Linked DNA regions of Alligator mississippiensis. The protein of the gene in region 3 interacts with the protein of the main gene of each other region in a pairwise test. Links are inferred from orthologs where the notes say so. Each region holds a gene or a part of one and is shown on either strand. Other genes may lie near its edges.

Evidence for each region. The genes of interacting proteins can lie anywhere in the genome.
Region 1: the proteins of DISC1 (region 3) and TUBB interact in a two-hybrid assay, tested with the Homo sapiens proteins (2 studies listed by BioGRID and IntAct). The link is inferred for Alligator mississippiensis from reciprocal best matches to the Homo sapiens genes DISC1 and TUBB.
Region 2: the proteins of DISC1 (region 3) and ROGDI interact in a two-hybrid assay, tested with the Homo sapiens proteins (2 studies listed by BioGRID and IntAct). The link is inferred for Alligator mississippiensis from reciprocal best matches to the Homo sapiens genes DISC1 and ROGDI.

Annotation. Positions count from the first base shown.
Region 1 is NC_081834.1:57,379,382-57,387,119, forward strand, and holds the start of TUBB (tubulin beta chain), read right to left. Parts: upstream 3,241-7,738; 5' UTR 3,114-3,240; coding exon 3,057-3,113; intron 1-3,056. Other genes in the region: FLOT1 (flotillin-1), read right to left, coding at 6,086-6,118, 6,494-6,658, 7,669-7,738. UniProt on the Homo sapiens protein: Tubulin is the major constituent of microtubules, a cylinder consisting of laterally associated linear protofilaments composed of alpha- and beta-tubulin heterodimers.
Region 2 is NC_081836.1:30,383,841-30,391,361, forward strand, and holds the start of ROGDI (protein rogdi homolog), read right to left. Parts: upstream 3,241-7,521; 5' UTR 3,222-3,240; coding exon 3,180-3,221; intron 1-3,179.
Region 3 is NC_081824.1:149,966,949-149,975,053, forward strand, and holds the start of DISC1 (disrupted in schizophrenia 1 protein), read left to right. Parts: upstream 1-4,764; 5' UTR 4,765-4,827; intron 4,828-8,105. UniProt on the Homo sapiens protein: Involved in the regulation of multiple aspects of embryonic and adult neurogenesis. Required for neural progenitor proliferation in the ventrical/subventrical zone during embryonic brain development and in the adult dentate gyrus of the hippocampus.

The sequences.
Region 1 (7,738 bases), on a different chromosome or scaffold from region 3:
TACTTTGAATTCAAAGCCTTTTGGGTTGAAAAATGATGTTAAAAAAACCCCTATAAACTCAGCCTACTGATAAAAGGGGGGGGAGGCGCAAGACTATCTTGAACTCAAAGTATGCACTGAAAAACATAAAACCCTATAAATTAAAGCTATTTATTGATAGAGAAAGGGGTGGGGGGTGGGAAGAAGAGCCATCTTGAATTCAAAGCCTTATCTTATAAGATACAAGGATATGGGCCGCATATAAGGATATAGGCTATACCTTATATCTCCAAAATTGAAAGCCCCTATAAAATTCAAGCTATTTGTGGATAGAGAAAGGAACGGGGAAGGGAAACTACTTTGAATTCAAAGGCTTGTGTGCTGAAAAACAGAAGACTTCTAAGTATTATAGCCAGCTGAATAGCTAGATATAAAACTCTATAAAAACCCAGGCTCATTCACTTTTAGAGAGAGAGGAGGGAGAAACAGTACCTTGAATCCAAAGGCATTGGATTGAAAAATATAAAGGTCTTTAAAAAATATACATTTCAGTCTATTTATTGATAGAGAAAGGAGGGGGTGGGGTGGGGAAAAAAACCTTGAATTCAAAGCCTTGAGTTTAAAAAAAAATATGTACACACACACACACACACACACACAGAGGGAGCTATTGGCAGGATTCACTCTCTCAAGGACTGGCATCTGGTGTAGGACTGGAAACGCACAGAATCAAAGTCATTTGGGGGAAAACTGGCAGTAAAAAAAAAGAGGCAGGCTTCAATCTCTTGAGAGTGGGCACCTGGAATAGGGTTGGGGAGTTAGAAAATAAAAACAGAGAATCAGCTCATTTTGGGAGGAGAGGGAAGGAAGCAGCCTTGTCTGTAGCCATCTCCAGCTCAAAATAACCCCCCACCACCCCCCAGCCTGGCTCTTGAGGTCTTTATAAGGGAATCCAGCTCCAAAAAAAAAAACAAAAAAAAGAAAAGAAAAAAAAACCAAAAAAAAAGTCAAACTCCTATTTGGAAGGCAAGTAAGAAGTGGGAGAGAAAAGCCCTGATTCAGGCAAGAATGAGGCAGCTCCCAGCAGTTTCCGGCCACAAAGATGATCTGGACCCGCCCAGGACATCTGCAATTGCATTTTAAAAGCCAGAGCCAGAAAGGAAGGGGGAGGGGAAATAATCCCAGAGGCCTCCGGCTGGGGATGACCGCATTCACCAAGATGTCTGGCTGGCTCACCACCTCCGCCTCCTTCCCCCAACAGCAGCCATTACAGAGAGGCACAAAGAAAGTAGTCTCAGCCCTTGAGATCCCCTAGTCACTGGAAAGGGAAAGGAGGGGATCTGATCTAGCTGGGGAGATCCTGGCACCAGGGGAGCTGCACCCACTACATCCCCTTATAACTAGAGGGTGGAATGGTTCCTGATCTGGGCACTGCAAGCTGGGGGAAGGAAGCAAACCAAATCTCAGACCTGGTCCCCAAACAGATCCCATTGAAAGGATCCAGCCTTGAGCAAGGAGATCCCTGCAGAGCCCAGCCCAGGGGAGAGGGGAGCCACCCACTTACCAGATCCCCCTTATACCTAGGAGGTGGAGAAGGAGAATGGATCCCAAATGCAGGTACTGGGAGACTGGGGCAGAGCTGTGGTATCAACCCTGAGTCCCTTGAATGGGCAAAGACTCCAGCTTACAGATCCCTGCAGACTCTGGCCCAAGGGGAAGGGGGGGGCTAGATCCCCTTATAACTAGGAGGTGGAGGAGCAGATTCCCCTCTGGGTGCTGGGAGACAGGTGAAAATAGTCAGTCCAAGCTTGGGGACCAGCCAGATCCCATTGAAAGGGGAAAGGATCCAGCTGGAAGACCCCTGCAGGTAGAGGGGGAGAGAACCCGCCTTTGCAGCCATGTGCTTGTGCAGACAAAAGAGGGTGGGGGAAGCAGCAAATCCTTGGCAGCAGGGAGTGCCAGAGGCTGGGGGCTGCCCCCACCCCGGATCCACCAGGAGCAGAGCGATACCCCTCCCACACACACCTTTTTTGGCAACTTGGTTTCCAAGCCGCCTCCTCCCGCGGCTACAGTGTGACAGGTCGGCACCGCGGACACTATGTAGCAAACCCGGATCGAGCAGAACGACCCTGCGGGGCGGGTGGGGAGGGGAAGGCAGGTACCGCGAGCAGCCCGCCGCCCCTTTTAATGCGGATTAAGCCGGCCCCGGAGGGAGGCAAAGCCGAGGCACGGGGCTGAGGCCAGGGCCAAGTTCACGGCCGGGGCCAAGTTCGCGGGGGGGGGGGGAATCCACCAGCGAGACGGGGCGGACCGGAGCCGGCGAGGAGGGGCTGAAACTGAACAGCCCAGAAAGCAAGAGGGGCTGAAATGGACCACTCCCGCGCCCCCACAAAGGGGGAGGGGCTGAAATTGATCGGGTCCAAAACGAACGTGGGGGAAGGAGACTGAAATTGACCCCCCCACTCCCCGCAAAAAAGGGGGTGGGGCTGAAATGGACCAAGTTTCTAGTACCACCCAGGAGCGGGCCCGATCCCCGCCGAGCTACGCCCCCTCCCGATGGAGAGAAGCCCCCTCCCCAGATCGGGCTGCCGCCGCCCCGCCCCAGATCAGGGCGCTTCTCTCCCGCCGGCGCGTCCCCAGCAGGAAGCCTCGTCCCGCTCCGAGCCCCCCCGCCCCGCCCCGCCGGGGGCGGCTCCTGGTTCAAATCGCGTTCCCTCCCCCCGCACGCGCGGGTTTGGCGCGCAGCAGAGTCCTCCCCTCCCCCCGCGGCCGGACCGCCCCACCCCGCCACGCGCTCCCGCCGGCTGCTCCGCGGGCCGGGTCTCCCCGCGCCGCCATCAGAGGGGAGTCTCTAAGGCTGGGGGGGAGAGGGGGACCCGGACCCCCAGACACCCCCCCGCCCCCTCTCTCGTTTTAAACGGGTTTCCCACCCCCGATCTCCCGGGCGAGTTAAAGGAATTTGTCCAATTTAAAAAGCGCCAAATCACCCCCCTATAGGCACCATCCGGCCCTACGAGGCGCGATCCCCTATCCCCGGAGGATCTGCACAGGTCCGAGCAAACCGGACCCCGCCTCACCTTGGCGCCGATCTGGTTACCGCATTGGCCGGCTTGGATGTGCACAATTTCCCTCATCTTGCAGGACCTTTTTGCCCCCTTTTTGACGGTGCGACGCGCCCCTTTAAGGGTAGAACGCTGCGGAGCCCAAGTTTCCTCCTTCCGAACGCGGCGGCGTCCAACGTTCTAAAGGGCTGGTAAAAGGCGGGGGCTGATATAGACAAAGCTTTTATAGCCTGGCCGGCGGCCAGGCCCCTGATTGGTCGGCTGGGATCAGCCGGGCGGGGTCTGATTGGCCAGAAGGGGATCGCACACGTGATAGCGGGCGGGAGTGGGGAGCCAGCAGGGCAGGGTGGGGTCCGTGCAAAGGCTGCTGGGAGTTGTAGTCACCTTTTGTTCTGGAGGGGTGGGTGGGGTGCTTCTGGCAATACTGAACCCCAGAGGTTTTCCCAGGCTGGGGAGGGAACCAGCAGTCCGGGTCCCTACCCCGCCCCCACAGAGAACCAAGGGTCTGGGCCCCGACCCCGCCCCCGAGAACCAGGGGTCCGGGCCCCTACCCCGGGTTCCCAGCCCAGCCCCCCGTCGGGGACAGAAGCAGCGGGAAGGAAGGAAGCGCCTGGGGAAGGGAGCAGAGGCAGGGCCTGGGAAGGGAGAGGGAACCCAGGCGCCCGGGATTGGCCCCGCCCCCACTGCCCGCTGATTGGGGCTGGCAGTGTCGCAGAGCTGGTGCAGGGTGCGGCTGGGCGGGGAGGAGCTGGCGGCCGGCCTGGGCTCCCGGGGAGGGGGCGGGGCCGGCTCATTCCTAGATCGCTCATCACCGCCCTGTTGGCGACATGTTGTCCCCAGGGTCCAGCCCCAGGCAGGTCCCGCTTGCCCCGGACGCCTGGGGTCTCCGGGACGGAGTGGGGGCTGGGGGGGGGGGCGGACGCCTGGGTTCGTCGGACACAGCCCTGAGTCTCCCCCAGCTGAGTTCCAAGCAGTCCCACCCCTGGGGACCGGCCGCAGCCCTGCTAGAGTCGGAGGCAGAGAGGGATGGGCGGGCACCCGCTGCCCTTTCACCAAGGAACCCAGGGGTGCTGGCTGCCACCGGCTGCATCCCCCACCCGCAAAGGACCCAGGTGTCCGGCCTCCCAGCCTCCTTTACCCCACTACCCTGCCACCTCCCAGCCCCCCCTTACCCCACTGCCCTGACCCCCCCTCCCAGCCACCTTTACCCCACCGCCCTGACAGACCTCCTCCTCTCCCAGAGCCGGAGGGGGAGCCGGGCATCCCTGCTGCAATGTGTTTGCTGCACCCCTTCCCAGCTGGGGCAGAGAACTCGGCTCCCAGCCTCTCCCTCATGACTACAACCAGGTGCGCCCAATTCAGGCTGGGATTTGGCACTGGAGTTGAGTGTAGGAGCTGCGAGCTTGCAAAAACAGTGTCATGGCTGTCCCACCCCAGGCAGGTCCTGCTCCCCTCCGGACACTGGCATCCTCTTCTCCCATCTCTCCCCGAGGCCTGGGGGCACACTAGAGGCTTGGAAGCAGCCCTGGCCTGAGGCCTGTATGCTTGGGGAGCAGGGACAGGCCCCGGTCAGCAAGGTGCCTGGCAACATGAGATGCCCCTTTATGGTACCATGGCAGCCCCAAGTAACCAGCCTGTTGTCTGGTAACTCAGACGCCCCCTCCTGGTAGCCAGGCCCCCCTGTAGTAACCAGCGCGTTGCCTGGCAACACCGAGATACCCCTTTTGGTACCCAGGGCTGCCCCTAGTAACCTGCCCGTTGCCTGGCAACCCTGGCCTGCATTACCATGGCGCCTGGCACAGCTCAACTGGGGTCAGGCCGGGCCGGGACAAGGGCCTGGCGCTTCCCAGAGGCCGGTGGCTATGAATGGCCCCGGGGTGACGTCATTCTCATTAGTGAACAGCGGAAATCACGAGGAAGGAGCCACGTGCTGCGGGGCCGGTTGTACTCTAGCCCCGCACTCAATGGGCGGGCGGCGGCCATTTTCTGGCGGGTGACGGCGGGCCCTCCTCCCCCCTCAGTGTCCCGGCGGTTCGACGTGGGCATCTCTATGCTCATTCGCGATAGAAGGGTGAGGCCGCCATGTTGAGGAGGACCGACAGCGGACACTCTAGCCACAGCATTAGAGCGTTCTCTGTTCCTCCCCTGCCCCACAGTCTATGGTCCACGCCCACGTGGAGGATGCGGAGTATCCGCTCCAGCCCGTCCCCCGGTGGTTGCTCTCGATCTCCGCCATGCCGTGCCCAGGGCCGCAACCCGGGAGACACTCTAGCCCGACGCCGCCCGCCTCTTTACGGTCCCGCGGCGCCTCTCTGTACAGCTACTTCCGGGTTCTGCGGCTCCGGCCTCCAAGCCCGGGGCCCTGGCGGGGGTCAAAGGTCAGGGGACCTGGGGGCGGGGCGAGAGCGAGGGGTACCAGTTGGGCGCGGGGGGAAGGGTGAAGGTGCAGAGAGGAATGAGACACCCCCCCCCCCCAGGAGTGTTGGGGGCTGTAACCCCCTCCCGTGGCCCTGGGGGTGGGGGGGAGGCCAGGCCCTGGGGGTACTAGGCCACTCTCCCCCATGCTACCCCCTTGCTTGCACCAGGGGGGCACCAGGGGCTGCCAGACTGCAGCTGCACCCGCCTCCCAACCCCCAGGACACCAGGGAGTTACCCCCGACTCCCAGGCCTCACACATGACACTAGCCAGGCCCAGCTCCATGTACCCTGGCAGGGTTTAATTATGTCTGGCACAGACCGGGTGGCACCAGCGGGGCACATACAGGCAGCTGCCCCTGTGCGGGGGCTGGACAAGGCACTGTAGGAGATGGGGCTGAGGCAGGTAGATGGGCTATGGCAGTGGGAGGGAGGGGAGGGCAGCAGGGAAGATGGGGGGACCCCTGCTGTCCTCCAAGTGGCACTGGGGAGAGGGGTCTGTAAACCACACAGACTTGGCACAGAGGGGCAGAAGTGCAAGTGGGGGCAGGGGGTAGCTCGGCCCCACCCAGAGCTGGGGGAGCAGGGGGTCCCATGCGAGGCAAGGAGGGGCGGGTAGTGCCGGGAGCTCAGGACATGCGGCCTGGCTTCTTCTGGCTTATCTGGAGGAGAGAGAGAGAGAGAGAGAGAGGGAAGGATGGTGTGAGGCAGTGAGAGGAGCAGACATGTAAGAGGCACCCAGGTGCCCGGGCTCCCAACTCCCCCTCCCCTTCTCTAACCCACGAGCCACCCATGCAACTCCCAGCGAACCCAGGCCTCTGGGCTCCTAGCCCCTTTCTCTAACCCCCATCCTCACCCCCTGCGCCAGGGAACCCAGCCCCACCTGCACCAGCTCCCCAGCCCTCACTCCCCTCCCAGAGAAGACAGGCATCCAAGCTCTAGTTTGCCCTACTCCCCTCCCCACCCCCAAAATCAGGCATCCAGGCTCGCAGCACTCCTTGTGCCAGCCCCCAACCAGAACCCAGGTCTCCAGGCACCTGAGAGATGCTGATGCCTGTAAGCTTCTCCACCGTGTCAGGTAGCTTGTCCAGGATGCCCAGCACCTCCCCTGTCAGCTTGGCGGCGCCCACAGCCCCGTCCCCACTGGACACCAGTGTCACCCTTTGCACCGAGGACAGCGGGCGGCTGATCTCCTCCGCCACCTGTGGGGGAGAAAGCCATTAAGGAGGGTGAAGCTTGTGTGCTGGGGGTGGGGCCTAGGCACAGAGGTGCGGCATGTGGCTGGGGGTGTAGCCTATGTAGTGGGGGCAGGCCCTATGCAGAAGGATGGCGTATATATGGAGGCATGGCCTACTTGCTGGGAGCAGGGCCTAGGCAGGAGTGGGGACTATGCAGAAGGGTGCGACATGGATGGAGTGGGGCCCACGTAGGGCTGGGTTTGCATGGGCGGTGGGTGGGGAGTGTATGGGGGCAGGGCCTGGAGAGGGGGTCTGGATCCTGGGGGTGGGATGTGTAGGGGTACAGCCTGTAAGTTGAGGGTAGGGCGTATACAGGGGAGTGAGGCATGCTTTGCTGCCTACAGGCTGGGGGGTGGGACTTACACAGATGTGTTGGGGCAGGGCTTGAGTGCTGGGGGCAGAGCCTGCAGGCTAGGAGCAGGACTAGGCAAAGGGCTGGGGTATGAATGGGGTGGGGCTGAGGCAGGGGGTAGGACATATATGGGGTGCAGTCTGTATGATGGGGAAAGGGCCTAGGCAGAGTGGGGCCTGCAGGCAGGGAATGGGGCCTGTAGGTGGGGGGTGGAGCCTAGATAGGAGTGGCACTTATATGGGGGTTAAGCCTATGTGTCGGGGTGTGGCCTGTGTCCTAGGGGCAAGGGAGCGTGGCCTGAAGGCTGGAGAGCTAGGTACATGTTTAGGTGTGGCCTGAGCACAGAGCGTAAGGCATGAGTTGAGGGCATGGCCTGTTTGCTGGGGTCCTGAGAGGGGGTGGGGCCTATGCGTAGCTGTGGTGCTGTGGGGGCATGGCCTATATGGGGGCATGGCCAATGACCTGGGAGCGTGGCCAGTGTGGGGGTGTGGCCTGCACAATGGCTGTGCAGCACAAAGGCATATGGCCAGGCTGTGGGTGTGGCCTAGATATGGGCACCACCCACACTGGGCATGTGGCCAGTCGATGGGGTGTGGCCTATGGATACTGGGCCAGGGCCTACCTCGGGCAGGCGCTGCAGCAGCATGTCGGCCATGGCGGCATCGCTGTACTGCCGAAAGGCCTCAGCCTTC
Region 2 (7,521 bases), on a different chromosome or scaffold from region 3:
CAGAAGCAGGCTGGCTAAGTTTGCAGATGACTCCAAATTACTGGGAAGCACAGTCACACTAGAGGACAGGCTGGGAATTCAGGCCAAGTTGGACAGGCTCGCAGTAGGTGTATCAAAACCTGATGACTTTCAGCACAGAGAAATGCAAGGCGCTCCACCTCAGGAGAAACAACCCACATCATACCTGTAGGTCTGGTAGCGCTACACTCACTAGCACCACGACTGAAAGAGACTTTCACGATTGACCACAAGATTAATGTGAGTCACCAATGAGATGCCACAGCCAGCAAAGCAAATACAACCAACCCTGGCTTGCATCTACCAATGCATCTCAAAGCAAGACCCAGGATGTCATCCTCCCACTTTATTTCGCCTTGGTGAGGCTACAGCTACAGTACTGCATCCAATTCTGGGCTCTACACCCTAGGAAGAATGTGGAAAAGCATGAGAGAGTCCAGAAGAGAGCCATGCACATGATCAGAGGTCAAGAGAGCAGGCCTTATGAGGAGAGGCTGAGAGACATGGGACTCTTTAGCTTGGAAAAGTGTAGGCTGAGAGGGGACTTGGCAACAGTCTATAAGTATATCAGGGATGTACATCAGGATCTGGGAGAACATCTGTTCACCAGGGCACCCCAAGGGAAGACAAGGTCTAACTGTCACAAACTGCTGGAAGACCGTTTTAGATTGGACATAAGGGAAAACTTCTTTACCATCCGAGTCTTCAGAATCTGGAATAGACCCCCCACCAGAAGTGGTGCAAGCACCTGCTCTGGGCACATTCAAGAAGCTTTTGGATGATTATCTTGCTGGGGTCATCTGACCCCAGCTGACTTCCTGCCCTTTAGCAGGGGGCTGGACCCAATGATCTTACAAGGTCCCTTCCAGCCCTAATGTTTATGAAATCTATGAACAGTTTTGATTCACTGCCTTACATGAACAATCAGAGTCGCCTAAAACTGGAATCCTGGTCCGCTGGAAATAAGCCGGGGGTTGGTTTGCTATGGTTCTTATGCTTGTTGTTTACCAAACAGCAGCAGCTTAATTAGTAAATGAACCTGAATCAAAGCCAGATGTGGCTTGGGCTGTTTGCACAAATCCAGTAACTAACAAGTTCAGGCCTGATGGCACAGCTCCACAGTTGACCTCAGTCAGGCCTCCGCTCTGGGCAAGCCTGTAATAATAACTGGTGACTGATCATGAAGCTGCAAAGGCAGCATTAACCACAAACACAGACTCTGGTCATAAGATTACTAAAAGGGTGGGAGAGGTGGATGCAAGGAGCTGAGAGGAGTATTTTTGCTCCTGTGGTGAGTAGGAAAGAACTAGCCCTGCTTTCCAGGCTAGAACTATAACATGCAGCAAATTGGGTTTTATCATATAAGCAACATGTGAGTTGAGTTGCCTCAGTCATGTGGCTGAGCCTGGAATTGAACCGTGACATCCCAAATCCCAACCCAGTAGCCACACTACTAGATTTGTACTCATGTGCATTAGAAACGTTGGGGAGGATGTGGATTTTATGCAAAGCCCTCTTGCTTGAAAGGAATGCCAATAATTTTAAATAGTGGCTTATGCCAGACATGCCTGTCAAATGAGCCTGCCATACACAACATGCAGATTCCTTTTCCTGATCTTCCTGCTTCAGGTGCCCAGGGCATCCACAAATTTCTGCCATTCATCCTGCGCTGTTCAGGCTCTCAAACGTTCCATTAATGGGTAGACAAGGTTCCTTGGGTGAATCTGATCTTTTATTAGACCAACCCAAATAGTTGGAGAATAGTTATTAAGCAAGCTTTCGGGTTCAAAAACCCTTCGTCAGGCTAAGGAGGTTTCAGCAGTTGGTGTGTGCGCTTCCTGGATGGAATGGTTCTCCACAGCGTTTCACCAGTTATTGTGGAAGCTGCATTGGTGGCATTTGTAAAGCGCAACCTAGATCCCAGCTTCCCTCACTGTCCTTTTTACCACATCCAATGCTCGCTAGAATTTCTGACAGACTCGATGGACCTTCCGCGGGTATTTGTTCTGGAACGGATGCACCTTCTATGCAGTTACTAGGGTGAATGTCTGTGACTCTGTTCCATAAAGTGAGGACAAGATGAGATGTCAGTGCTTGAAATCATGTGTCTGCTTGTGCATGTGTTAGGGCTGATTATGCTATTGTGCTAAATCTTTTCAAGTTTATGGAAAACTATTTGTAGTTTTTGGATGTCTGTTTCCTGACAAGTAGCGCAGCAGCATCCTCACAGCACATCTTGCTCCCTACAAAGCCAAAAAGCCTGTCTTCTTCCAAAGTTTCTCCATCTATTCTGCTGGCTGCTTCTGGGAGGTTAACAGCATTATGCTCCTTTTTGTCTTATTCAAGAAAAACTGGTGCCTCCAGAGCCTGGGGGGGGGGGGGGGGGGGGGAGAAGGGAGTGTGCACCATTTGTAGGCAGCAGTGAGCAGTGATCACCCACAGAAGACAGTGATGGTGACCAATCTCAGGGGGGGGCACATGCCCCCCCACGAATCACCCATGCATAGATTCATTGCTAGGAAGGGGCTGGAAGGGGAGTGGAAGATCCCTGGGTCCAGCGCCCTGCGCTTGACCAGACAACCAACCACCCTGTTTTGCTGCATTTGTTAAGGGCTTTAACCAAGCAGCGAGTTGAAGGACGCAGGGCACCACCACGGACAAATCTCAGGGTCCTCCAAGCAGATTTTACTGTTGTCCCACAACCCCCTGGGAACTCCCTCCTCGGGAGCCAGGCAGCGCCCACCAAGAACCTAGGGACAAAGCACCTTGGCCCCGCCTTCCACCCGGACCCGCCCAAAACCAGCGACAGCCGGGGACAGGCAGGGGGGCGGCAGGGGACCTTGACCCTCCGAGGGATCCGGAGGATTGGGGGGTTCCCGGAGCCGCGTCGTTCACCGCGAGTGTCAAGGCACAACACGGGCCGCCCAGCCCCAGCCCGTCCCACAGCGAGCGCAGCCGCGCACCAGAGCCTGTCCCGGGGCGGGGGCTGCTCCGCCGCCAGCTCCAGCGCCCCCGCCCCACCGCCCGCGGGCGCCGGGGACAAGCGTGGGGGGTGAAGCAGGCCGCGCAGTGCCGGGACTCAGGCCCGGGAGCTGGGGTCGGACTCCGCTCCGAGTCGGGGGTTGTGCGGCCCCGGAAGGAGGGGGCCTGCCCGCACTCACCAGCACCGCGCGCTCTGCCGAGCTCGCCATCCCGGCCGCCATCCCCGCCGGCCGCGGCCCCGCCCCCACCTCTTCATTGGGTAGCTCGAGCACTGCCGCCTCCGGATAGGTCCCTGCCTAGCAGCCCCACCCACCCCGGCCCAGCCAGCCTCGGCTAGGCAGCCGTCAGCCTGGCAACGCGCCGCCGGGAGCAGCCGATTGGGCGCAGCCGCGGCCCCGCCCCTCCCCTCCCCTCCCCGCAACAGGGGGGTGACGCCAAGACGCCTATAGTGACGTCAGCAAGAGATGTCAGCGCTGACGGGGGCGGGGCGGCCTCCGCTCGGCTTCTCCTCCCGCGCTGCAGGTGGCCCAAACCGGGTGCTCCGCCCCGCCCGTTTGCGCTCAGCGGGCCCGCAGCACCCCCCGGTTCACCTGTGGCCGCGGCGGAAGCGACTGGCGCGTGCGAGCGTGCCCCCGAGCAGCAGGACGCTCCAGCCCTGCAGCGCCTGCGCGTGTCCCCTGCTGCTGTGAGCGCTGACCCGGGCCCAGGGGTGCACCGGCCAAGGAGCCTGGCTCCTGCAGGACGACGCCTGTGTCTGAGGATGCAGCTGCAAGGGAAGGAAATCCTCTTGTCGGCTCAGGTCAAGCACCGTGCTTGTGGAAGGACCACGTGTCTGTGAAGGCAGTTTTCCTAAAGCGCTCCCCGTGAGAGCTGCTCTTCTGGCGCGGATCGGTACCCACCCAGGTGCAGCGGCTTTAAGCCCAGTCTCCTCCCTTGCTCGCTGCGAGGGCAAGCAGAACTGGGGGCATCTGAACCCCAGGCCTCCGGGCTCAAGCCTGCACGGAGGATGCCTGCTAAAGGATTTGGAAACCTCTGAAGCCCCAGGTGTGGGTGGAGGATGGTTGCCGGTAGTAGGGCCACTTATGATTCTGACCTCTTGAATTTGGAATTAGTTTGGGCTAATTTTTCCTGGGATACATAAAAGTAAAAAAAAAATCCTAGGGGATAAGGGGGCATTTTTGTGAACTGGTGATTTTATTTGCACTCTTAACACTTAACACAGCACTCAGAGTGGTCACATAACAGGCCAGGCTGCCTGACATGCTGTAAGTGTGTGCTAGTGTCCTCTGGCAGCTTTGTCTTCATAATCAGGCTTTATTTTAGTTCTTTCTGGCACATTACCTCCCCTCCAATCTCAAGCCTTAGTTTTTTCCTAAGCACTCAACAGCCTTACATGAACGCAGAGTTGCACTGAACTAAATTACAGGCTGGATTTTTTTCCCAGGCATAGATTCATAGATGTTAGGGTCGGAAGGGACCTCAATAGATCATTGAGTCCAACCCCCTGCATACGCAGGAAAGAGTGCTGGGTCTAGATGACCGCAGCTAGATACTCATCTAACCTCTTGAAGACCCCCCAGGGTAGGGGAGAGCACCACCTCCCTTGGGAGCCCGTTCCAGACCTTGGCCACTCGAACTGTGAAGAAGTTCTTCCTAATGTCCAGTCTAAATCTGCTCTCTGTTAGCTTGTGGCCATTATTTCTTGTAACCCCCGGGGGCGCCTTGGTGAATAAATACTCACCAATTCCCTTCTGTGCCCCTGTGATGAACTTATAGGCAGCCACAAGGTCGCCTCTCAACCTTCTCTTGCGGAGGCTGAAAAGGTCCAGTTTCTCTAGTCTCTCCTCGTAGGGTTTGGTCTGCAGGTGCTTAACCATATGAGTGGCCCTTCTCTGGACCCTCTCCAGGTTATCCTCATCCTTCTTGAAGTGCGGCGCCCAGAACTGCACGCAGTACTCCAACTGCAGTCTGACCAGCGCCCGATAGAGGGGAAGCATCACCTCCTTGGACCTATTTGTCATGCATCTGCTGATGCACGATAAAGTGCCATTGGCTTTTTTGATGGCTTCGTCACACTGCCGGCTCATGTTCAACTTGGAGTCCACTAGGACTCCAAGATCCCTTTCCACTTCCGTGCCACCCAGCAGGTCATTCCCTAGGCTGTAGGTGTGCTGGACATTTTTCCTTCCTAGGTGCAGCACTTTGCATTTCTCCTTGTTGAACTGCATCCTGTTGTTTTCTGCCCACTTGTCCAACCTGTCCAGGTCTGCTTGCAGCTGTTCCCTGCCCTCCGGCGTGTCCACTTCTCCCCATAGCTTTGTGTCATCTGCAAACTTGGACAGAGTACATTTCACTCCCTCGTCCAAGTCACTGATGAAGACATTAGAGTATCAGTCCAAGGACCGAACCCTGCGGGACCCCACTGCCCACACCCTTCCAGGTCGATACCGACCCATCCACCACGACTCTCTGGGTGCGACCCTCTAGCCAATTCACCACCCACCGGACTGTGTAGTCATCCACATCACAGCCTCTTAACTTGTTCACCAGTATGGGGTGGGATACTGTATCGAAGGCCTTCCTGAAGTCTAAGTATATGACATCCACCCCTACTCCTGTGTCCAGGCGTTTCGTAACCCAGTCATAAAAAGAGACTAGATTGGTCAGGCACGATCTGCCTGCCACGAACCCATGCTGGTTTCCCCTCAGCATAGTTTGTCCTGCCGGGCTCTCACAAATGTGAGCCTTGATAATTTTTTCAAAGACTTTGCCAAGGATGGAGGTGAGACTGACTGGCCTATAGTTGCCCGGGTCCTCCTTCCTCCCCTTCTTGAAAATGGGGACCACATTGGCCCTTTTCCAGTCCTCTGGGACTTGGCCCGTGTGCCACGAGCTTTCAAATATTCCCGCCAGTGGCTCTGCAATGATGTCGGCCAGTGCCTTCAGCACCCTCGGATGGAGCTCATCCGGGCCTGCCGACTTAAAGGCATCCAGTTCTTCCAAGTGACTCTGCACCATCTCAGGGTCTACGCATGGAAGTCTGGCGCCTTGCTGCTGCCTCTCTACAACCCCAGTGAGAGACTTGTCGTGCCCCTCGCTTAGGAACACTGAGGCAAAGAACTCGTTGAGGAGTTCAGCCTTGTCCCCCCTGTCCGTCACCAATTGTTTCTGCCCATTTAGCAGGGGTCCTATTCCTCCCTGGGCCTTCCTTTTACTCCCTATATATCTAAAAAACAATTTCTTGTTGTCTTTTACTTGGGTTGCCATCCACAGCTCCATGGTAGCTTTGGCCCATCTAACTGCCTCCCTACAAGCACGAGCAGAGGAGGCATCTGCAAGATTTATGTTAACATTGCCCTGGATCCTGAACTCTGTACCTGAGCCCTCCAGTCCTGGAAGCTGTTTTCCTACTTACAGTAATGTACAAACCAGCCAATACCGTTTAACTCGGGAGTATTCATTGATCTGGCCAAGATGCGGACACGTCCTTGGAGGGAACGGTCCTCTCCCAATTGATCGCTCATTGGAGCTTTATCAGTCAGAACAGCAGCGCTTGAGCGCTCCCCCGGAGCTGGTTTGTGCTTCCCGAGAGCTCCTCTGGGGCTGCACACAGCTCTCTTAAAGATCAGTTTAGACTACTGTGTTCTGGGCGAGAGAGAGAGGAGGAAAAAGGCATAGTGGGTAGATACTACAGTATTCTTGGGAAAGCTTTCAAAAATATATTTAAACTGACATTTCAGGAGACTGGATTTCCTTATGCAACCAATGGTTTCTTGGGTCATTTAAAGCAAAAACAACCTTAGCCTGCTTGCTGCTTTCTATTGCTTATCATTTTGCAGTGCCCTTTACTTCCCCCAAAGCAGCATGAAATCTACTTCACTTGTTTGCTCTGCAATCACCCTCCGCCTCCTGCTGTTGCAATGTTAAGGTTTCAAACACTGCAGGCACTACTGGCACTATGCTTGGGCTGCATAGGTTGCTGTTTGCCAAGTCTACTTGTTTACTGATCTTGCCACCAGCTCAAATGGACTTTTTGGTGAATGGCCACTGCTTATCCATTCTCTGATACATTGCCATTACTACTAGTACCAGCTTAGGACAGCATTTTGGAGGTGCAGATTTTTACTGCTTAATACAATTGCTCATCTGTCCTGTGGCCAAGGATACATATAAATTTTTCTGTGTCTTGTCAAAGGACATACTGTAGAACTGATATAAAAAAGACAGGCAATTACACAAGATGCTAAAGAGATACTCAGTTTCTTTTCCTTGAATCCATCCTGCTATTTAAATGAATTTGAGCTTAAAATAGTTTTCATTGCAACTATGTTACAATACTGAACACAGCTACTGCTAATTTACAGGACCAGAGATGGGTTGTGAAGTTCAACTTCCTCCATTCCCCAGCCTCAGACAGTATTATAACATTATTTGCAACATCAAGGAAACCTTCTAACCTGATTGGATAAGATCAGAGGCTCTCTAGAGATCTAGTAAATCCAGAAGGTTGATCATATTTCT
Region 3 (8,105 bases):
GCCACCCTGCAAAAACAATGAATGTTAAGATGTAAGCCAGATGTAAAGAACACTTTGAGGCACTCCTGAACTGTGATGGATACCACCATTGAGTCCAAAGCCCTGAAAGAGGATCCCGAGCCAACCCTTTTATCCTAAAAGAAATCTGGTGTGCCATCAAGGAAACCAAGAGCATGGCTATTAGGCTGGATGGCATACTTGCTGTAATCTACAAGGCTGGTACTAAGACTCCATTCTTCAAATTAGGAACAATGAGGAGCTCCCTGGGGACCTCAGGAATGTCAACATAGTAACTATCTTCAAAAAAGGACATAATAAGTCTGTCTGTCAGAACTATCAAGGTATCACCCTCCTTTCCACAGCAGGGAAAATACTCTTCTGCATCCTTCTGAGCCATCTTCTACCTCTTGCTGAGAAAGTCCTGTCAGAATCTCAGAGTAAGTTCAGATTATCCTGTGGGGCAATTAACATGATCTTTGTTGCCTGCCAGATTCAAGAAAAGTGTTCGGAACAACATCAGGACCGGTATATGGTTTTCATTGACCTTACTAAGGCCTTTGATTTGATTAATCATGGAGCCCTATGAAAGTACTGGCCAGATTTGGATGTCACGGAAGTACATCAAGACCCTGAGGCTTCTCCATGACCAGATGACTGCAACCATTCTTTGTAGTAGATTGGAGACAGACTTATTTGTCATCTGAGCTAGGGTCAAGCCAGGATGCATCCCAGCTCTGTTCTCCAATAATTTGACTGTCATCCTGGCTCTCATTAATGACTGCCTTCCTTCTGGAATTGACACTGAATACCAAATCGATGGAGGACTCTTCAGCTTGGGACATTTTCACTTGAAGACCAAAGTACTCAAAACAACCATCCTTGAACTTCAATGTACTAGTGACTGTGCACATTGGGGAAAACTTCCACACCATGCTGGATCTCTTTGGAGAAGCCTACCAAACTTTGGGCCTCTCTCTCAACATTGAGAAGACCAAAGTGCTTTATAGTTTGCCCTGGTGCTGAATGTATCTCAGCATGTCTTTATTCATTGCAGTCTCTGGAAAGACACCAAGATCCAGGTCTACAATGGAAAAATCATCCCCGCTCTCCTCTATAGATGTGAAATGGGGATGACCTACCATTACCATCTCAAGAGCCTGGAGAAGTATCACCAATGATGCCTCCAGAAAATCCTCTGCATCAAATAGGAACGTTGACTCAAACACCAGCATCTTTGTTGAAGCCAGTGTTACCAGCATTGAGTCAATGATCCTCAAGCATCAACTTCACTGGACCTGACATTGTGTGCAGATGCCTCACTCTTGCCTCCCAAAACAAATGCTGTACTCCCAGCTTAGTAATGGCCTGAGAAAATGCTACAAAAACACTTTGAAGGCATACCTCAAGAAAACAGATGCTGTCAATAAGATTTGGGAGAAGCTGGCTGCCAACCGACTCCAGTGGCACCACAACCTTACCCAAGCAGCAGCTCATTTTGAGGTAAAATGTCTTGCCCTCAAAGCTGAGAGAGCAGAGGAAGGAAAAGGAGAGGAATCCCAGCCTGCAGCTTAGTCTCCTTCTGTGGATGGATCTGTGGCTCTAGGATTGGACTCCCAAGTCACCACAAGACTCATCAGTGAGCCATGGTAGAGACCATCCTTGGATCAAGGGATTATCACCTATGGGTCCTTGCCTACCTCATGTTGGAAATGCCAAATGTTCAGAAGGGAAGCACTCTCAGCAGAGGCCTGGTAAAAGACTGGGTAAAGGTGCTGGCATACAGTTTGAATTAGGACCTAGGGAAGAGTCCACAGAATTGTGCCCCTCAGGCAAAGAACCTGAGCAAGGTCATCCCCATAGTAGAAGGGTCTGATTTTATACAGAGGCAGAGGGAAGACCCAGACTTTGTTCCACTCTATTGTCAGGTCCCTGGTCCACCCACAGTTTAAAATGAACTGTCTGGCAGTGGCAGCAGCGTTTCTAGTCAGGCAGCTGATGAGGGAGTCAATTGACTTCAGGGCTCGTTATTATCTGCCCGATCCCTTCTTAAAACTTCATTTCATAAGTATTAATGACCCTCTCTTCTTTCTAATGGCCTTGATTTTCTACCCATCAGGATGTCCTTCCTTCTGCCATTCTGTGGTCTGTTAGGGCTCTGCTACACATTCAAATTAAAGCTGGATAGAAACCAGCTATAGAGTTCTTACACATTTTCAAGCACTAACTTTATAGCTGGTTAGCAGTTTTTACAGCTGGAAAGTAATTTTTATCATGTGATAATTTCTGCATATGGGTGGCCAGTCTAAATTTATTGCACGATTCACCCATTAACAAGGTGATAATTACTTTGAACTTGTGGCTGGTCTTACTTTGCAGGTGTGGCCAGTATAAATTTATTTCACAATTCAACTGTGAATTGCATAATATATGTAAGGTATAGCAGGGGCCTCGCTGCTTCTATTTCACAGACCTGCAGATTGTTTTTGAACACATTCCAATTAAGTTATGTTTGTTTCTGCTCCAATCTTAAACAGAATAACACAGCCCTGGACCCCTTGCATTAGTAAAGTTTCTAGTTTAGTTTAAATGGGAATAAAATATGTATTGTGTTATCTGTGATGATGGACCTTATTTGAGTCACTCCCAAGCACTGAATTAGGTGGAGAGACCCTGGCACATGCCTACCCTTGAATGCGCCAGGTTGCAGTCCCTTTTTTGCCTCCTCCAGAACCTCCTGCTGAAGTTCTGGTTGCATGACTCCCTGCCCCTTTTTTGTTATGTGCTCCCTATCTGTGGCACTCCCACATCTGGGACCTCCTGGTCAACCTCCTCCTGACCAAGATGGCAATATACCTGACCAGGAAGGAGGCCCTGGCTGGGAGAACTCTGGGGACTGCAGGGCCATTTTCCTGTCCTTGGTCTTTTCACATCTCGAGGCAGTTTCACTGGGCAGTGTCAGCTGGATTCTTGGATGCATTCAAAGACCAGTGCCCACGTTCTGGTGTTCTGTGCTCAGTCCACCCCCTCAGTGTGCTCGTTCTGAACCTTTGACCCTCACCTCTTCACTTATTTTGCATTTTATTTGTCCCAAGCAATCAGTGATATGCCCTCAGTGGCCCCCCACATCAAGGGGGTGGGTGCTCATAGCCCAGTTTGATGGGCTTTGACTCTCATCCTGTAACAGCACATCAAAAGGCCTGGCCATCTACCAGACCAGTTGGAATTAGTCAGATATGTCACAGAATCCTAGAAAATGAGAGCTGGAAGGGACCTCAGGAGGTCATCTAGTCCAGTGGTTGTCAACCTTTTTTGTACCATAACCCATTTGTAAACATCAGTGGCCATTCCCAACCCAGTGCTCCTCGCGCCCAACCTGCTGCCTTCTGCCACAGTGTGCGTGGTGGGGGCAGAGAGGGGGCAAGCAGCCCCTCACAGGCTGGAGCTCTGCCAGACTGCAAGGGGAAAGCCCTGGCTTCCCACATTTTTTTTCTTTAAAGGAGAATCCATTTTTAAAGTTTGTTTGCAACCCTTTTGTATATTCTTGCAACTCACTTCTGGGTCGTGACCCATGGGTTTAATAACACTGATCTAGTCCAACCCCCTGCTCAAAGCAGAACTGGCCCCAGTGACAGGCAGAAACATTAGGTGCTTAAAGGAACTGTGCTTGACAGGCTTGAAAAGCCGGGTGAAAGCTTTAGTTCCAAGTGACCAGCACCATACCTAGACTCCTGGCACCCACAGGCAAGCTTTTAGTATTGCCCCCCCCTTCACTGGAGATGATAATAATAATAATAATTAGCATTTTGGGGACCCCTTTTCTGCCTGGGCCCCAGGCAGCTACCTGGCTCACCCATGCCTGTGTCCAGCCCTGCAAGTGGCTTGAGGTGCCTGAGAGGTTATGAGGATGATATGTTTGGACTTAAAACACATCAATTCCGCCTCATCCCCACTTGCTGTGCTCAAGCCCCTTTCAGCAGCGTTTCTCAACAGGTGGATTGTCCTTTAAAGTAGAAAAATGTGGGAAACAAGGCCTTTTCCCTTGCAGTCTGGCAGAGCTCCAGGTTGCGAGGGGTTGCTTGGAGCCCCCAATGCCCCACACAGCGGGGGCAGCGGGTTGGGAGTGAGGGGCACTGGGTTGGGACTGGCAGTACCATAACAAGGGGGAGGGGTGAGTGGGGCGATCGCCCTGGGCACTTAAGTGAAGGGGCAACAACAGGCGGTGCCCAGCTTGGGCAGGGAGTGGGACGGAGCAGCAAGCGGCAGGCTTGGGGAGGTGCTGGGACCAGGGAAGGGTAGCTCCAGCCATTGTGTGCACTCCTGGCCAAGCTTGGGTGGGATTTGCATGCAGGGCTGGGGTGAGCTGCCACTATGGGCTTTGCCCTGGTGCCAAACTTTGTTGCTACAGTACTGGGGACTGGCCACTGATGTTTGCAAATGGGTCCTGGTCCAGAAAAGGTTGAGCACCACTGCCCTACAGGATTGAGGCCTGAGATGTCTTTATTTTTTAATCTCCTCAGTAGCTTTCCTGATGAGGGGAGCCCGAGCCCACGCTCTTTGGCAGCTCACAAAGCCTGTCTCCCCCCGCCCGCGGCCGGGCTGGGGGAGGCGCGGGGGTCCTTGCCCTGCCGAGCAGGGGCGGGCGCGGCGCGGGGGTCGCCTGTGCCAGGGCGGGGCGGGGGCTGGCAGCTCTCGGCGGGGGAGTGGCTGTGGCGTGGCGTGGCGTGGCGTGGCGTGGCGTGGCGCGGCGCGGGCTGGGCGGGTGGGGCGGCTCTCGCTGTCCCGGGGCGGGCCGGAGGATGTGGTGCGGGGCCGGCGGCGCGGGGCGAGGTGAGGCCGGGGCGGGGGGATCCCGGCGGTGCATGTGCATGTGCGTGCGTGTGCGGGGCCGGAGCAGCCCGCGCCGCCAGCCCGCCCGGCTCGGGGCAGCGCCGCCGGGTCCCGGCCGCCGAGGAGGCGCCGCCGAAGCGCTTCCCCGGGGCTGCGGCTGCTCGGAGGCGCCGCGACCGGGACGGGGCCCAGGCTGCGCGGGGTGGGGGGAGACTCCTCCGGCCGCGTGGCTGTGCACCCCGGGGCTCGGGGGCAGGGGCAGGCTGGCCCCCGAGCCTGGCCAGGGCACAGCTGTGTAAGGCGGGGCTTCTCGAGCAGGCTGGCACCCAGGGGTGCCTTGAGATCTGGAGTGCTTTGGGGTCCTCCTGGGTGCCTTGGGATTGTGGGGTCCCCTGAGATCTCCTGTGGTGTCTTGGGATCCTCCCAGGTGCTTTGGGGTCCCCTTGGGGTCCCTTGAGATCTCCTGGGTACCTTGGGATTGCAGGGTCCCCTGAGATCTCCTGGGGTGCTTTGGGGTCCTCCTGGGTGCCTTGGGATTGTGGGGTTTCTTGAGATCTCCTGGGTGCTTTGGCATCATGGGATCCCTTGAGATCTCCTGGGGTGTCTTGGGGTCCTCCTGGGTATACTGGGATCATGAGGTCCCTTGAGAAATCCTGGAGTGCTTTTTGGTCCTCCTAGGTGTCCTGGGATCCTGGGGTCCCTTGAGCTCTCCTGGGTGGTTTGGCATCGCAGGGTCCCTTGAGATCTCCTGGGGTGCCTTGGGATTCTCCTGAGTGCCTTTAGACCATCTGAGGGAGCTGTCACTGTTAGCGCTGCTTACCATACACGATGGGCAAGGTTGAATCTAGAGATTGCTGTAGGACTCCCATAGCGGCAGGCTTTCTGCCTGTGTTGCGACAGAACCCCGCTTTATTTCTTTTCTGTAGGCCAAAAAAAAAAAAAAAAAAAAAGTGAAAATGCAAAGCTGGTACATGCCGACAGGTGCCTTGAGTATATCCAAGGATGCCTTGAGTCTAGAAAGGGTGAGAACTGCCTGTGTAAGCTTTTGGTAGGCAGTAGCCTACTTTTTGTCAGGTGCTGTGAACCAAGTAAAGTTTGACAACGTAGGTGGTTGCCTGCCAAACCACATGCATTAGTCTCTCAGGCAGTGGTTCTCAACCTGCTTTAAGCTTGAGGCACCCCTAATTAGACTCAAGGCACCCCATGGAAAATGGCAGCTCTTAGCTGTCACTTATTATTTCTCTGAGCAATTCTTCTGTAGCAAAGAACACAGAAGTACCACAGCTGGGTAGGTGGCTTTTGACAGTGCAGATTCTATTTGAAATCTCCGGGTTTATCTTGTGAATCATGTTTGTACATCCAACAGTACTAACGTTGTGTGACATCCTTGAAAGGATCTCAAGACACCTGATTGAGAATCACTGCTGTAAAGGCCTGAAGCAGCTGCAGGAAGCAGGTGGATTCCTAGGCCTCTGTAGCCTTTGGAATTGCATGTATTCCCAACAATGCTAGTACTGCGTGGCACCTTTGAAAGGATCTCTCAGCATCCCAGGGCACCATGGCACTGTGCTTAAGAATCACTGTGCCAACCTGTCCTGCCTTCTGCCTGACTTCAGACTAAAACAGCTACCTACCTCTCTCTAGAACAGAATAGAAAAGCTTCCAGATATTTCACTGTAAACATTACCACAGAATCTCAACCAAAAGAAAAGATTTGGTACTTATCCGAGGGGATGCTGTTGAGATCTGCCTCTCATTAATGGCAGGTGGCTGAAATTTCCAGACTGTTTCAGGTAGCTGAGCTCTAGTAGTGGAGACAAAAGTCCCACCCGTGGTTGGCTGTGGAATTGCTGTGAGCCTAGTGCAAGTAATAGGTACAGGTTGGTATACTGGTTTGCTCCCTGGAGCCAATTTGTTCCACTCCTCCTGCAGTGTCCAGAGGCATAACTGGCTTGTACTTTGCCCTGGATGGTAGCAGTGCAGGGTGCAGAGGCAGCGGCCAGAGGTTTGCTCTTGTAGTGTGGAGATGACACTTTGTTTTTGCTGCTGATGTGTGTTGAGCGGTGGCCAAAAAACACTGGTTTTTGCTGGCAAAGAAAGGAGCTGGCATCTCTCTCTTTTTATAAGCAGCATGTTGCTCCTATGCACTGGCCAGTCCTACTCCGTGCATCGCTGCTACTGCTTTGCCCACTTGCTGCCAGAGCTGGAGTTGCTGCCTGCGAAGGTGCAGGGTGTGGGGAAAGGGACGTGGAATGGGAAGGTGAAGTGCCCCATCAGCTCTGTTCTGGCACCTCTCCTCCCCTGTCTTAGGCAGCACCTGGGGCTTGTGACTGCTTGCCTACTCATTACATCATTGATAGTGATCATTCTAAAGTTTGGGAGTGCATGAGGTTACTCCTGGTCTTCTAAACATGACAGCAGCGGTGGTTTTTAGTAATATGTATTAGAACTGTTGGTTTGTTTTGCTTTTGTTCACCCAGAAAGCCTGACAGTTTTGAAATATTAAATGTATAATACAGGAACTTTACTCTGAATATGGTCAAATTCCCAGTGCTGCTGGAAAAAAATGCTTTGATTTCCACACTGTGTGACTGTGTTTTAAGTGCATGCTAATGCCAGTACATAATCCACAAAGGAGGGAAGTACAAAGATTTAAAACACATTTTCTACCATTGTTAATACTGGCTTGGATCTTGTCTACATTAAGAAGTTATGGCACACTCCCAAGCAGCATGGATACAGTTACAACTGGTACATGCTATATATCAATATAATTATTCCTGTAGAGGAAGGGGAAGCATTATACTTGTATAACATGTCTACACTAGGGATTTAATTGGCAGAAATTATCTTGCTTAAAAAAAAAATCCCTAACTGAAATAGTTATACTGAGAAAGACTTTAAAGCTAGATTAGCCCTCTGTTCCACCAACACTGAGGATGTTGAAACTAATGGTATAGAACAAGGATGTCAAATATACAGCCCTTCGGCTGCAACTGGCCATTGGAAGGGTTTCAACTCTCAAATGGGCCAGAAATTTAGGGGCAGGCTGAACAACGTTGGGCCTGCCACCTAATTTCCAGCTGTAAAGCCTAGCTGGGGACATGCGTGCGTGTGTGTGGGGGGGTGAGCAATGGCTGCATTAACCTTTTCAGTATCGCTTTCCCTGCTGTTGGGTCTGGATTTGGCCTGTGAGGCTCCTTGTGCTCTGAATCCAGTGTAGTAGGAGTGCAGGTGAGTTGGGTACCCCTGCTGCAGAGGATACTAACACTTTATAC